Linked DNA regions of Lepisosteus oculatus. The protein of the gene in region 2 purifies or fractionates together with the protein of the main gene of each other region. This does not show direct contact. Links are inferred from orthologs where the notes say so. Each region holds a gene or a part of one and is shown on either strand. Other genes may lie near its edges. The genes, in order: smek1 and rngtt.

What was found.
Region 1: the proteins of rngtt (region 2) and smek1 purify together in Homo sapiens (affinity purification with mass spectrometry; 3 studies listed by BioGRID and IntAct, with this or other methods). This does not show direct contact. The link is inferred for Lepisosteus oculatus from reciprocal best matches to the Homo sapiens genes RNGTT and PPP4R3A.

Annotation. Positions count from the first base shown.
Region 1 is NC_090703.1:20,030,202-20,038,336, reverse strand, and holds the start of smek1 (serine/threonine-protein phosphatase 4 regulatory subunit 3), read left to right. Parts: upstream 1-4,960; 5' UTR 4,961-5,726; coding exon 5,727-5,868; intron 5,869-7,952; coding exon 7,953-8,008; intron 8,009-8,135. UniProt on the Homo sapiens protein: Regulatory subunit of serine/threonine-protein phosphatase 4. May regulate the activity of PPP4C at centrosomal microtubule organizing centers.
Region 2 is NC_090697.1:8,027,104-8,035,145, reverse strand, and holds the start of rngtt (mRNA-capping enzyme), read right to left. Parts: upstream 3,197-8,042; 5' UTR 2,595-3,196; coding exon 2,531-2,594; exon of another isoform or gene 1,417-2,530; intron 325-1,416; exon of another isoform or gene 101-324; intron 1-100.

The DNA.
Region 1 (8,135 bases), on a different chromosome or scaffold from region 2:
AATGATGACAGAAACTTTGGCCACATAAAAAAGCTGACTAATCAGGAAAAACTTATTACATACTTGCCAGTCTAGTGATGTTGAGCTCATCAGCTCTGGGAAACTGGGCAGAATAATGCTTATTATAGCTGAATTAACATATACAGACACTACGCTTTGGCAGAAAGGGTTTAAAGTGTAACAGCAGACATGCAATCATAATTACACCCCACTGCTGGAAAGATTCCCCAATTAGATTAATCTGAAAAAGAAGAAGTTAGGAAGGCCTTTCTTTAAATCTGGTGGGGAGAAGTTTTGTTGTTCTGTTACAGCATCCATAGAAAGCAAAAAACGTGTATCATCTTAAGGCACAACCCTTTCGGCTAGAGTTCTTCACTCCAGAAACAGCCGCCTGAACAGATGCTATCCATGCTGTGACACAATATTAGTTACGAATGTACTTTCTCTTTGATGCTCAGATATACCTCATATTTATTTGAAAGTGCTCACAAGCTTCCATTGTGCCAAAGAGTAAAACCAAAACATCTGTTTGCAAGCTGTTTTGCATAAAGTAGCCTTAAACTGAATTGCTCATCACATACAAGTCTGGATGCTTGCTAATCTTTTGTGCTTTGCTTGCATCTTGTACTGCTATAAATGGACTATATTTAACTTATGAGAAGAATGAAATACAGTGCTAGAGATAGCTACTAGCCCTTGGAGAGTGACCAGATGTCATACTACAGTACAGTGTGTAGAATCCAGGCAGTACTACCAGACATGGAATATTAATGTTACTATTGTAAGACTCTTGTGACATAATTGGCTGTTTTAAGAATTTGGAAGTTCCGATGTTCTTCAATTTAGCTGTATATATGAAGGAAGCTGATGTTCCATAAATCACATTACTTTTGTAATTTTGTTTGTGAAAAAGTTAGAAATACTTGATTCATCATTCCTTGTCTATGCAGCTTAAAACAGCTAACAGGAGAATAAAGAGTTATTAGGTAATATTTAGTAAAAGATACCATTTGTGCTACAACCATAAGGCAATGCTATTGTTGTTAAGCATAAAAGTTTGGGATGTTGACAAAGAATAAGAGGAAATAATTGGAATTCATAATCAGTACTGTCAGCTTACTAACTAAACAAGTCCACCTTTGTCATCTGGTTGGTTTTATAACCTTATGAAACCAATAACTCATCATTTCACTCTCAGATATCTGCTAATTCTGGGTTAAAGTTGTGACAGCGCATCGCCCATTCCTTGAATACAAGAAGCAAGTTTGACCCCAAACCCGAGAGCATTTCAGACACCAGTGCGACCTGCTCTGTCACCATGTGCCTCATCAAACTGGGGCTTAGAGTTCAGATGAATCGGCGTGAGAAATGTGGCTTTACAGGGAAACAAAGAACAATATAATTGACGAAACAGTTTTTGACATTTGTGATTGCGTGGCAGCAAAAAAAAGAACAGTCTTTTAGTCAGACAGAGCAATGCACTCTAGTATCACAAGGAGTCTGAAGAAGGCGGGGAGGGTATGAATAAGTGCCTTTGCTGAGTAGGATTGCCAGTTGTGTTTTATTTCAGGGGTGACTAACTGAAGTACTACACTAGGGAGGTTCTCATTGTGAGGAGGCTGCACCCCTCTCTGGGAGCACTGGCACTTGGCCTCCGTCCTTAAAAACTGAACTGAAGACACACCTCTCCTCTCCAGCCTGCACTATAGCTTTCAGATTTCTTGCGGCCAATGAAGTATGTTTTCACTGAAAGTGCCCCATGAATGTGAGTGTCCCCTAGATTGTAACAGCTTAGAAGAATGAATCATTATTTTTATAAATGCATAACCTTTTTATATACAGCGGGAATTGAAAGTAACATGCTGAAAAGAGAGGACGGGAAACAACGTTTCGGATGTGGATCCTTCTTCTTTATGTTGGTTGTCACTGCTCTGTATTATTGCACTGTTTGTAATTTTCCTTTGTAATTCTCGCGCTTTCAAAAGGTACTTCACTAAATAAGGATTGTGACTGCTCCTGTGCTAAAAACACTTTGTTTTCTTGTTAACTTCCATAGTAGAGACTGGAAGGCACAAAATAATAGTATTATTATTATTGATAATGATGATAATATCGTTGATCATGATGGTAGTTTTGTTTTCCATCGCATGGCCAGTCATGTGGCCGTTTCGGTGATCCCTGTGTCTCCATAGTGCAGACAACAAAGGCTCTTTTTTGACTTCATTAAAGATGCAAAAAGAGATTGGGCCCTCTAAATTCTCAGTTTAGATTGAATCTTTATGCAACAACACAAGTACTGCATGCCTGCTGACATTGTTTATGTTAGCTGTTTGTTTCACATAGAAACCGTTCCAGCTCTTTCTTTCAGCTGCAGTGGACTTTTGTTTGTTGTGACTGTGCTGTCCTCATTCACTATACAATTAATGGTTTACTTAGTTCCACACTGCAAAGTACATTCTGTTTACATATCACAGTTTGCTGCCATGGAGACCAAAAAAAATATCTCTGCTGGTTTCAAAAACAGAATACTGCTTGGGTGTTTTACTGTACTGGGCTGATGTAATAATTTCTTAGTTTAACTGTCTAGGTTGTGGTTTGTGGGCTCCATTTATTTTAATTTAAAAACCTTAGTACTTTTTCTTCACCTTGAAATTGTCAGATACAAAATAGACTTTGTGATAAATACCACTGTTGTTTATGATCTTTCAACAAATGGAATTTTCCATTTTTTTGTGATGTTTTAATTGTCTTAATCAACATTAGCATGCTGGGAAATCATGACCATTTTTGTTAAGGCTTTCAGATGGCAGAACGCAATACAGCTTTAAACTCAATTACAACCTACCGACTGGTATCAAAGCAGTGTAAGGGTCTGAACGTCTTCTCCCTCCCCCAAAAAATCCACCTTGGAATGATTAGAGCACTGCTTATTGGGCAGCTGTGTGGATGACTCAACGCAAACTTATTTAGCTTTTCACCCTTTAAAACAAAAGCATCCAGTCCATCTAACTGCTTTTTCCAGTACAGGCCCTAAGGACAGCTGGAGCCTGAACCGGCAAGCAGCGCGTGCTAGGCAAGAGCCACCATGAATGGGATGCCAGTCCATCACAGGGCACACATTCATGCCAGGGCCAGTCTTCTCAGAAGCCAGTTACCCAATCGGTATGTTCTTGGACTGTAGGGGGACGCCCACACAAACACAGGGGAAACATTCAAACTCCATGGAGGTAGCACCCCAAAAATTGAAGCCAGGGGCCCAGCGCTGTGAGACAGCTATACTGACCACTGTGCCACCGTGATGCTCAAAACAAAAGCAGCTGAATGTATGCTTTATGTAAAGCATTATCTGCTATTTAAAAAAAACACAACTATTTTTAGTGTATCAAAATAAAAGCTGAAGACACAAACTTGCCATAAAAACAACAGTAAGTCAGACAGCTTCACAACATGTTAATGTTTCCTTACTCTTATATAGCGCTTTTCTGGACACTCCACTCAAAGCACTTTACAGGTAATGGGGACTCCCCTCCACCACCACCAATGTGCAGCCCCACCTGGATGATGCAACAGCAGCCATAGTGCACCAGTACGCTCACCACACATCAGCTATCAAGTGGGGAGGAGAACAGAGTGATGAAGCCAGTTTATAGATGGGGATTATTAGGAGGGAATTATTACAAAAAAGGCCAAAGGGAAATTTGGCCAGGACGCCGGGACAACATCCTTACTCTTTTTTGAGAATCACCCGGGGATTTTTAATGGCCACAGAGAGACAGGACCCCGGTTTTACATCCCCATCACTATACTGGGGCATTAGGACCCACACAGACCATAGGGTGAGCGTCCCCCAACTGGCCCCAATCTTTTCCAGCAGCAACCTTAACTTTCCTAGGTCTCCTATCCAGGTACTGACCAGGGTCACCAGTGTGTTGGCAGTTGAGAGTTGCAGGGTAATATAACTGCTTGGGAAGCAGGTTCTTCTTTGTGATGGGATCCTATAAGGAACGTCTGAGGCCTAGTTGTTAAAAATAAACCTATTAAATGAGCACAGCAACAGTAAGATAACTTAAAATTCTTAAATGTCTGGTTGGAGAGGAGATACGAGTCTTGGGTCGATAAACAGGGCACACGGGCATTATACTGAATTATAGAAAATGAAAATCTAGTGAGATGAGACCAGTCCTTCCGCAGACTCTATTTTTCTGCACATAGAGGATTCAAAACCACACTCGTGTCTGATTTCTGGCTCGGGCCACTCTGCTACTGAAAATCTTCAGTCCCATTTCCCCCTGCTCCCTCCAACCCCAACCCCAGAGCCCGTTCCTTCTCTAACCTCTCCCCTTAGCCACAGAAACCACAAGCCCCTTGCACCTGCTCGAGAAGCACCTGGGGCTCTCGGCTACATCCTGCAGCCACTGTTTTTCTGTAGGCCACTAATGTTTTATTCTGAAACTAGTCATGTAATTTACAAAATGTACTTGCTTCTAAACCTGGAATAGGTAGTCAAACAGGGGGACTTCATCTTTGTATCCGGACTACCGGTACATGTTTCACATTGTTTCAGTTCCTACAGTTTTTGATTTTCACTTCCACCTTAATTGTCATTTTATTGATTTGATTTATATTTTACCACACCTACATGTTATATCTGTTGTTTACTGTTTGCACACGTCTAAATCAGATGTACATACAGCTAAAAAATTAATTGGCATTCATGGGTTTATCTGTCCTGCAAGCTCCTAAAATACAAATATTTGGGGGCTTTGTTGACATCAGTGTAATATTCTGTAAATTACAGTTACTTCTTGGGAAAAAAAGTCTTATCTGGCTCCGATATTACAAGCCCTTACTGATTTTTAGATGTCAAAGTAGTTGGTAACCCGAACATGGAGAGTCTGAAAGGTGCGATTGAAAGCGCTGTTCCTTTAAATAGTGGCGGGCTGCCCCTGCTGCCGCTGGGCTGGAGACCCCGTGCTGGCACTCTGAGGGGACCCAAGATGGCGGAGTTCTGATTGAGGGAACTGTAATTATAAAATAAAACTGGGAATTAAAGAGAAACTGTAGTCGTGCGTGGGGGGTTCCGTATAAAGGGAGTTCAAGTAATATTCCGGTTGAATTTATTTAATTTTTAAATGTGTTCAGAATTGTGGGGAGAGGCTAGTCTCTCTCCGCGGCCCGAGGACAGAACATGGCGGAACGCTAGGGAAGGGGTATAAATAATAGAAAATAAATATAAAAACAGCCGGCTGCCTTTAAAATTAAAGATCCGGACACGTCCTTTCGCGGAAATAATGCAGTCGATCTCGCATGCGGTTCTGTATGAAGCGTTCATTGTTTCCAAGAATGAGAAATACGCGCAGATAAGGGCTGTCGACAACACCGATTCTCCAGTCGTGCTCTGAACATTTTCTTTCCCTCTCCTTCTGCCGAATTTCGTTGGTGGCCTCCTTGTGCAGCCGGGGTTATATCTCGCTTTCTCTTTCTCTTGTGCAGCGGGAAGGGCAGTGTTTTACAGGGTTGCGCAACTTGAGGTAAAATGGCGAAAGCGTCCTGAAGCCCTCGGTAGCAAGGCCGCCCTCCCGAGCTGGGCGAGTGTGCGCTGTAGTAGGCTAGCCGTCTGATCGCCCTGACGGGCCGGGCTAAGGATCGGAGACCGAGGGTCCGACGCCTCTGGGGTGGACGACGAAGCGTGTTTTCGGGTGTGAACAGCGGGGTGGGTTAGCAGAATGACGGACACTCGGCGACGAGTGAAGGTTTACACCCTTAACGAAGATCGGCAGTGGGACGACCGGGGCACCGGGCATGTGTCCTCCGGCTACGTGGAGAGATTGAAAGGCATGTCCTTGCTAGTGCGGGCCGAGAGTGACGGTAAGTGGCCAGTAGCTGCCCCCCCCCCAAAGTAAGGTTCTGTTAACAGGTTTTAGTGCTCGCTTGCAGACCTGGGTAAAGTTTCGATCTGGTTTTAAGCGCCGCTGGTGCCTGAAAGTTGCGCGGATACTTGTGTAAACACGTCGCCTGGCTTTTCCCTTAGTAAGCAGTGATTTGATTTGTGCTTTCGAGGTCTTAACCGAGACAGCTCTACAAATCAGGGGGATGTAACGCTGGGCGAAAGCCGCACAACATGTATGTCTTTGTATTGTTTTAGCAGGGTTAGGGTTCGATCACTAGATGCAGCCTTGCAGATAATGGGGGTGCATGCCGAGGATCATTGAGTTTCCAGTGTCCTGCTATTTAGTGCGATTGCCGTACTTAATGCCCTCTATAGTTGTCCACCCCTACGTACACAAGTACAAAATTACACCTTTCATCTCCTTATTAACGTGTGATTGCACAACAAAGGCGTCATAGATTCTGATTTCCAGGTTTGAGTAAAGATACAAGGATTTGCACAAAACCAATCATTTATTTCAGACTTGTATTTGAATGCATCATCTATTGTGTCCAGGTATTGACAGAACGAGGTCCGAGAGCCTCATAAATACTGAATCATGTTTGTATTGTCCTGAAGAGTTGTGCCTGCAGCTCTTATAATGTAGACAGTCTCTTATTGAACGTGCAGTGTTGGATCTTCGGTAACAGTATCGAAAACGCAACGTTAGATTAAAAAAAATCCTCTAAACGTGCTGCTTGAAAGTGCTTGTTTTCAGTCCGCTGCTCGGCTGCTCGTCCTGCTGCGCTCCTGCAGCTTGTTCAGCCTGTAACCTGTTGGAAGTTGAAGGAGTTGCACCAACTCGTCCGAGCGCCATACCAGTTGGACCGGAATAATAACTTTTCATCAGTTTCTCGTTCTTTACTGATCATTTTGACATTCTAGACGTTGTTTTTTTGTTCTTAAGCTATTGAGTTACATCCAGAGGTACTGATTTCAGATTCTTCTAATCGTCTTATCAAAGCTTCTTATATTCGTGCAGGATGAATTGTAGTACTGCCTAAGGTTGTCTGTCATTGTGTCTACAATTAGAGCATGCGATTTTAGTTTTTATGTATTACAAATGGCAGCACAGCTAAAATGTGCTAGAACAATTTGTACATTTAATAGTACAGTTTGCAGTCTTTAATTGTTAACAAATTAAAAGATCGGCCTTAGATTTTTTTAACTTGTACAGTATTTTTTATTATTTGCTCTTCCAAGTCCTAAAGTTGAAAAAGAACAACCTTATGTGGCACTAATGCTCCAGTCTTTTCAAGGAATCTGGTTAATTGTGTAATGTAAAATGCCATGACACCTTGGGCCGTCTCTTGTGTTTTTTCTCATTTTTAATAGGTTATTCCTTAATTTTAAAACTGCATTTGGGGTTCCATTTCATCAACACAAGTGGAACATTGCAGGTGTTACTTAAATTTAATTTTGGTAGGCAAGGAGTGAATATACCTCACCCTTTGTTGAATGGAGTGGTTGCTTTTCTGAAATCAGAAGTAATTCATTTTGTAACATTAATTTTAAAAGTATTGAGATGATTTTGATGGCATGAAAATGTTTGCCACCAATGGGTAACAAGCTCATGGAGACTGGTGATTGAATTGTGTGCACTTTTCCCAGTATTTCGGAAAACTAAAATGTTTGCACGAGTGACAAAGGAAATATTTTTAACTTTTCTGTATTCAGTTTATGCTTTGATACATTAGAAAACAAGTTTTGTTTACATCAAAGACATGATCTGCAATTCCTATCTATAGGCCATTCATTGTTAAAAGTGCTGAAGAGTAGCTGAGACAGGTGTGACATAGACTGCATTCTTATGCTGTGCCAGTTTCCTACCCCTGTTCTTGGACTGAGGACATGGCCAACTGCAGGGCCCTGTGTCAAGATGAAATTGGAAGCACTCTGTGATTTACGCATGGCAAAGGGATAAAGATATCGACATTGAGTTAATAAATTGCACTGAATTCTTTCATTTTACTCTTTATTGGGTACCAGTGAACACATTATGTAATGTTGCTTTTTTTTGCAGGTTCTCTTTTGTTGGAGTCAAAAATAAACCCTAACACTGCTTACCAGAAGCAGCAGGTAAGTTTCTTTGAAAGTGTAACTTTTTAAAGTCTCGGTTCTTTAGATTTTAAGTGTTGACGCCTTAAAGAAAATGCATATTAAATGTATTGTAGTTTATTAATTTGGTTTTAAATTTAAATGAATA
Region 2 (8,042 bases):
AGTGACCAATTGTATTTAAAAAAAGTTATCTCCAGCAAATAGGGAGGGAGGAGGATGTGCGTGATTTTGGAACAATGCCAATGTTGTAAGCACAGGAAAGCATAGAAATGCGTACTACGAACGCCGGCACTCTTGTGAGCACAGGAAAGCGTGATAGATAACAGAAAAATACTTAAGAACTGTTCTAGGTTAATTTGAGAAAAATACACAAAGCGTCTCTGTGTTTCGCTTCCACGCACATGAAATAAAACCTTTTTAACTTCTGAGATGGACTCCTGAAATGGAAACGGGGGAAAAATGCAAGCTTGCAGATTGCTAAAGCAGGTAGGCCCCAGGCTATTTTTAAAGAACTTTGTTTACCATTGGCAAAAGAGATGATACGTATTATGTGTGGAGAAAAAGCTGCTAAACAGCTTGTCCTGCTGCCCCCTCTGAAAGACACAGTCATTCACAGAATTATTGATATGGCGGATGATGTCAAAAGTGTCAAAATTGGCCAATTTGCTCCTTTAGGTTAGATACGATTTTGAGGGTACGTCCCATGAGGACTTTCTGTTCTGTAAGCCGCTACCAACAGGAACTACAGGAGAGCACATATTTCAGCTTCTGAATGATTTTATCGAAGTGAATGGCATCGACTGGATAAAATGCGTCAGAGTTTCTATAGACGGTGCTAGAGCAATGACAAGCCGACACAGTGGTGTAGTTGCACGAATTAGAGAGGTTGCTCCAGATATGAAGTGGATACACTTAAAATCTGTTGTGAATTGTATCAAGGCTCGACCAATGAATTCACATCTGCTTTGCTCAACTAAACAGGCTCAACCCTCTCACTGAAATTTGTATTGTTTATTTTTAATTGTTGTGGTTCCTGTTGTAATTCTGTAAAGCGCTTTGAGAAGCCACCTTTAAAGGTGCTATATCAAATAAAGTTTATTTATTATATGTATGCATGTGTGAGTGTGTGTGCACGCGCGCTCATGTTGGTCATTGAGATTTTCTGGGGTTCCTATGAGATGATGACTTGTAGGTGGTACTTGGATGCTTTGGATTGATCAGGGGTGGTACTTGGTCCAAAAAGTTTGAGAACCACTCTCTAAAATCACACATTATATGGGAAAATATAAACTACTTCATATATGCTTTCTGGATCTTTCGACTTATTTTAACAATTGCGCTCAAGAGTGTCAATGGGATCTGTTCACATGCTTTTTTGTATAAAATACAAGCTCTTTATTTAATGTATTGGAAATACCCTGTATAAAATTCACTAAAGCCGAAAAAAGCAAACAGCACCCATCATAATCGACCTACCCCTATAGAGCACCATTGATATTACTGAACGTCAAAGCGACGCAGTTCTTGTATCTTACCTTGTGTTATTTGTGCTTTTTTTACATATTGTTTGCATTTTAGTGGAGTTTTAAAGTGGGGCCCATCATTCCTGCCAGCTTCCTCCAGGCTCTGCTGTCTCCCCCACGGCCTGGCATGAGAGGGACCCAGCAAGATCTGGGGTGGTGACCCGTGTGTGCCTGTAGTCACCCAGTTACCTTTCTCCCACTGCTCTGAATCAGCCTGCAATCCTGCCACCAGCCCGCACACAATCTCCCCACAGGACGTCTCTACAGGAGTCGATCACCACGCCGATTTCAAGTTAAAGGTGTTAATGTTAAAAAAACCTGTAACGCACCTGAAAGACCAAAATTCAATCTGCGATCGATCACAAAGGTACAAAAAAGAAACCGCCGTCTTGGAAAGCCATCAAATAGAAGCAGCCGTAGGAATATCCACACTGAAAACTGACATCCTGGTCAACTTAAAACCTCTCACTTGAGCACAGAAGAGAGAAGAGTCTATTAAGGTCTGAAAAAAATAAATACCGCCAAACTCAGATAGGAACCAAGGAACCCCTAGACACATGACAGAATGACCTTCTTAACCAAAAGAGTGAGACATTGGTGAAGCTTTTATTTTTTACAAACAAGTCCCTACAAATAGAGGGGTGGAAAAAAAAAACAAAGAATAACATGAACTGTAGGTCATTCTGAGAGACGGGTCTCAACGCACGAAAGAAAAATGTTTTCGGAGAATTTAAACGTAAAAGGTTGTTTTTTTTTTAGGACCGTGCGACTACGTTTGTTTTGTGTGGGGATCTCGTCACAAGCTAAGGAAATACAACTGACGTGCACAGCCTCCCGGTGTATAAAACACAGCTTGACAGCGTGCACAGGTTACAAGGGGCACCACAGAGCCGGCTGGGAGCTGCTCGGGGGCTTGGCCGACCCGGTGACCTGCAGCTGTTGGGATGCGCGATGAAATCGCCGAAATGTCACCGTTTTCTCGCCATCCCTCCAAAACGCGAACTTCATCGGAAAACCCTCAACCGCTCCCGGTGCACAGCCGGAGACAAACAGCTGGACGTTACACGCAAAATACTACACCGTCCCCTTTCTTTATGAAAGGGGCCGCCTAATGCAATGCGCTGACAAACCGAGCAGCGAAAATGTCACAAGGTGCCGCAGGTACTCACCTGCCACAGGTTGCCCCCTTCTCGGGCAATTCCGCCATCTCGGCGGGACCCCGCCGTGCGACATCGTGTCTCTAAGACCGGGAGAAAGGCTCCCCGGCAGGACCTCGCCACGGACCTCGCAGGAAGGACAGGTCGGTCAGGCCCGCATCTACGAGAGAGTCCCCAGGAGATCAGCCCTCCGCGGCGGGCTGCTGCACTCCCGTGCTCCGCGGCTCTTGGGCCTAAAGGCTGATGTTGAAAATACTTCAGCAAGTCCGGGAGGCGTCCAGGGTGCAGAGGTGACCCGCTTCGCTCGGACGGTCCTGCCTCCCCGGGATCTGAGCTCCGAGAAGTTTAGTCTCCCGAATAACGGGAAAAAACTTCTAGTTTTCCCCAGAATCAAACGCAGCGTCCATGAATGAACTACAATCAAATCCTCCACATTTCCCCCAGAGTGCTCCGCACTTCCTATACAAATACCTGCAGTGGCCGAGAAGCAGCGCTAGATGGTACCTTCGGCTCGAAAAAGAGCTGTCGCTGTTTGGCACTTCACTACCACACGTCGTGGTAGACTTGTGATACACAGCTTGGTCTAATATTGATAAAATATTTGCCAACTCTTGAAATTGAATTGTATTTTTTGTCTGCACTTATTATCACGGTACAGCACATTTAAGGTTTCTAAAGTGTTCTAACGCCGTTTTTTAAGCGATTCAAGTTTCATTTTAGCTGCGCATTTTGTAGAGTCGAGCCATCTTCATTGGGAGAAGGGAAATAATGTATTGTTTTGAATTTAACTCAAAGAGCGCCCAGTTTGTAGCTTGGTATAGAGTGTGATAGCAGAGTCGCCAAACGGTTTTCCTGGTTTCCTTGCTGGTTGTAAAGTCTACAGTTCACAAACACAGCTTGGACTTCAAAAGTATAGAGTTAAAGCAGACATCTAATTTTCTTTAACCACTACCCTGGTCAACCCAAATATTATTCACTAGTCAGTCATTTTCTAAGGTGGGATCGTTAAGTCCTCGTATAAAGTAAAGCAAAACGAAACATGCTTTACCTTGAATTGACCAGCTTCATTTTCGCAAGGGTTTGTGATAAAAAACGCTGCAGCATCACTCAGGACGGCTGGATAGCGTATCGTAATTATTTTAACCGTGCATGGATCTGAACTGCAGACGGTGTTGTCTGTTTATAACTCCTTCTGCAGTGCCATTCTTGTTACAACATTTTTTCCAGACTGCAGAACAATAACGAGCCGATATTTGTTCAATTGCAGTAGAATTGAATTCATTGAATTATCCTTTATTGCCCCTAAAGGGAATTTGTCTTGTACATCACGATCCCATAAAAATACAGAGTATAGAGTATGACAATAATGCAATCAAACAACACTAAAATACCATGATATAAACCAAGAGTTGAAAGTTAGATTCACACTAAGTTTGTTCATCTTTAGGGGTTTTTTGTAATTATGGAAACAATTTGCATTTTCAAAGCTGCAGCAAACCTCTATTATGTGAAATTGGTCCCCAGTCGGCTTGCTGTGTATCTGCTGGTGGACAAACAGTGATATTGATTATCTTGTATGACAGTGGAGATCATCGGGTTTTGAACTATTGAGCCAAGTCAAGTGTATCACAGCGCAGGGCTGCTACTACACTGATGACCTCCTGAGGTGCTAAGTGGTGCCAGTTAATGTCATCGTGTCTTCAGGCATTCCAATGCCAGGGCCAACACAGCAGGACTCGAGCATTCCTGGCACAGAGTAAAAACTGTGGTTATTACATTAACCCACTCTTAGCCCTGATTGAGCAAATATATAAATATCTGACAGGCTGAAGTGGTCCAGGTGGGCAGCTGCGTCAGCATGTGCAGTCTGCAAAGGAACAAGTAATAGTTTTTTTCCAAGCTGAAACGAGAAGAGAGAGAACACGAGAGAGAGAAAAAATGTGTTTTCTCTCTTCTCTTTTCAGCATGGAATAAACCTGTTGCTTGTTCCAATGTCTGACAGGCATCTAGCATGGCCAGTAGCTATGGGCTGTGTATGCCAAGTGGTACTGAACAGGGAATTGGGAATCTTTTATCATGGATCCATGGTGTGCAGTTGTCATGTCTATGACTGCAGGATAGACCCATTTATTATCTATAGTTTGACCCTGAGACAGTGGCAGCAGTGTACAACATACAGAACAGAAGAGGAAACTAGACATGTGTGTTATCACGGACAGCAGATTTACAGGACCATTAGTATAAAACTTAAACTTGTAGTGAAGAGTTTTAAAAGAAATTAGAATGCCTTGTGCCCGGTCTGTCCCTTTGAAAAGGCACACATGACATTTTTTTTAAATGTCTCTGTTTCCATGATAACTGCAAGGCATTACTAAAGATTAGGTACAGCCATTTTATTGAGCAGACATGACAAAGCAAGATTCATCATGCTCATTAACATTGGCCATCAACTGGTCAGATTGACAGGGATTACACAGTGAAATCCACAGGCTAGTAGCATGTGTGACCATGTCTGGAAGCAATAGAAGTTGTGGGTAGCTATAGCTGCAGGAGCTCACAGATGCTGTCTTGTGGGATTGTAGCCATTTTTGTAGTAGTGCCTTGATAAATCTGTGCCTTTTCATTGGCCTCTGAGCCCATAGTCCCACACATTGTCCCAGTTCATCCCTCAGATTTTCAATGGGACTCAGGTCTCACAAGTAGGGTATCTACACATCTACACACCTACTCCTCTCGCAAGAAAGCCATTGGTACATGAGCAAGATGAAGACATTCACTCTCCTGCTGGAATATTGTCAGGTCAGCATGAGTTTGCCAGCGATCATACAACTCTGCAGCTCACCACTGGCAGCCCACTGAAGCTCAGCAGGTGTGAGCCTGGTCAGTACCTGGATGGGAGACACCTGGGAAAAATAATGTTGCTGCTGGAAGAGGTGTTAGTGGGGCCAGCAGAGGGCGCTCACCCTGCAGTCTGTGTGGGTCCTAATGCCCCAGTATAGTGACAGGGACACTAAACTGTAAAAGGGGCACTGTCCTTTGAAGGAGACATAAAACTAAGGTCCTGACTCTCTGTGGTCATTAAACATCCCAGCGTGTCTCTTGAAAAGAGTAGGGAGTAACCCTGGTGTCCTGGACAAATTATCCACTGGCCTTTACCAATCATGGCCTCCTAATAATCCCCATCTCTGAACTGGCTTCATCACTCTGTTCTCCTCCCCACTGATAGCTGGTGTGTGGTGAGCGTTCTGGAGCACTATGGCTGCCATCATCTAGGTGGGTGAGGAGAGTCCCTATTACCTGTAAAGCGTTTTTAGTGGGGTGTCCAGAAAAGTGCTATATAAGTATAAGCAATTATTGTTATTTACAGGAGGAAAAGCCAGTGGGCTCCCAGGACTTGATCTGTAAAACACTGTGTTGACAGGGTGCCAACACTGAATGCAGCTGGAGTTCTGTAGTGACAAGCCACTCCTCCCAAGTCTGGGTGATCTTAAATGTTTATTTTAGGGAAATTCCAAGTGTTAGTAAACCGGAAAGCGAGACCGTTTTAATAAAATGAACAATTCCCTAAAGTAAAGCTATCTCACTAGACTGATGTTAAAGAAAGAAACTGTCTACAAGACTGATGGTTTGGCACAAATCTGAAAAATACAGCCCCTTCTCCTAAATTTTATCTGGGTCCTTCCAGTACCAGATACTTGACAGGTTTCTGTTTGTTAATGGGAGCTCCAAACTGCGGTACTGTTTGTATTACACAAACTCTTAATTTCTCTTGTTTTTTCTGTGACTTTTCCTCATTCATCTTCCTTGCTTTGATCTGTGCTTTAAACAGTGTTGAGCACAAGTGCTAGCCCTCACCTCAAAAGGTGTCAAAACATTTGGTTCGCTCCACAAAATTGTGAGCTTCTGTCCAGTCTAATTACCCAGAGTTGTAATTACTTTACAAGAATTTACAAGAGACTTTACAAGAATTAAAAAAGAATGATCATAATGTTACTTTTGTAACTTGTAACTTTTGTAAGTGTTGAGTACATTTAAAGAAATAATTTTATGATTATTCTGTCAGTTGGGGGCTGCGCGTTGGTGGTAGTGAAGAGGGGTCCCCATTACCTGTAAAGCTCTTTGAACTAGTGAAGTGTCCAGAAAAACGCTGTATATGTACAGCATAAGGATAACTTATATGTATTATTTATAACAGTGCTATGGGTTCTTAAATATAAATCTAAAAACAAGAAGAAGAAGAAGAAGAAGAAGAAGAAGAAGCATTCCTCCAAAATTAAGGTGTTTCTGTTTATTTACTGTATGTATCCAAATATAATAACCCGGTATCAGAAATCAGTCTCAGCCCGACCTACATACTGCAGCGATCAGCTGATCACAGCCGTTTCTCTACTTTCTTTAGTTATGTAAAAAATGAAAACTTGCATCTTTTTTTATCTAACCAATCAAAAGGTAAAATTCAAAGTCATGTGATGAAACTTTCCCCCAGCAACACGGACTAGGGAGCTGTTGCCTGGCATATTTCCGAGTCCAATCCAATCCAGCCTGAAAACCCTGCTTAAACGCTTTGCCACCCTTCTGGGGATGCATCTCTAGTGCGCTGAATACAAATGTCTACTTGGAAAGCAGACCATTATCTGTGTATCGGCATTGGTTCACATTAAATTTTTTAAAATTAAAATACAAACTGAATGCAAATTTCTCGTCTTGTGCTTGTGTCCCGCGTGTTAATACCCAAATCGAGTAACTACAGCAGATCGCATTCCCAGATAGCGCCTTTAACTCGCCATTACTGACCTTTTTCATAAAACCACTAAATACAATAATAAAATCGAGGATAAGAATCGGTCGGGGAAACGGAGAATCAAGGCCAAGTTTCTATCAGCTAGTGAAACTAAAATTGTACAATTTAAACCGTCCTGTTGTTGTGATGGTGCTAATTAAAGGGAATATGCTGTGGCAACGGCTTTAAAAATACTGTATTTTTTAAAAATATAATGCAAAACCGGATTTTTTTCTAAGAAATGCAAATTGCAACTGTAAAACAAAGGAAACATTTGAGCGCACTGAGCACAGGTGACTGGCCACGTCAGCGCTGTACAAATTGTGAAACGAAAGAAACGTCTTGGAGTCGGAAAAAAAAAGACGACAAGAGGAAAACAGACGAAGCCACAAACTGTATCGAGAATCTGCTGACATTAGTGTGGGCTGTTAGGTGAAGTGTTGAACCCAAACCCGACCCCAGAATGAACGCATCCACTAACAATCACTCCCGGTGTTTTCTTCAGCAGCTCTATAAACACTCATAGCCCTAGCAGATTTGTTTTGTTTATCGTTAATGTCACCGAATCACTGTTTTTTTTACTGTTCTCAATTACGAAACAACAACAGTAATACAATAATCTCATCCACAGCCATGCCACTGTACATACAGTAAGAACAATGCTTATTTACTTAAAAGACAGAAAAATATCCAAGACGATGAAAGAAAAAAAAAGGTTTCCATTTGATTTTATTGGGTTCATAC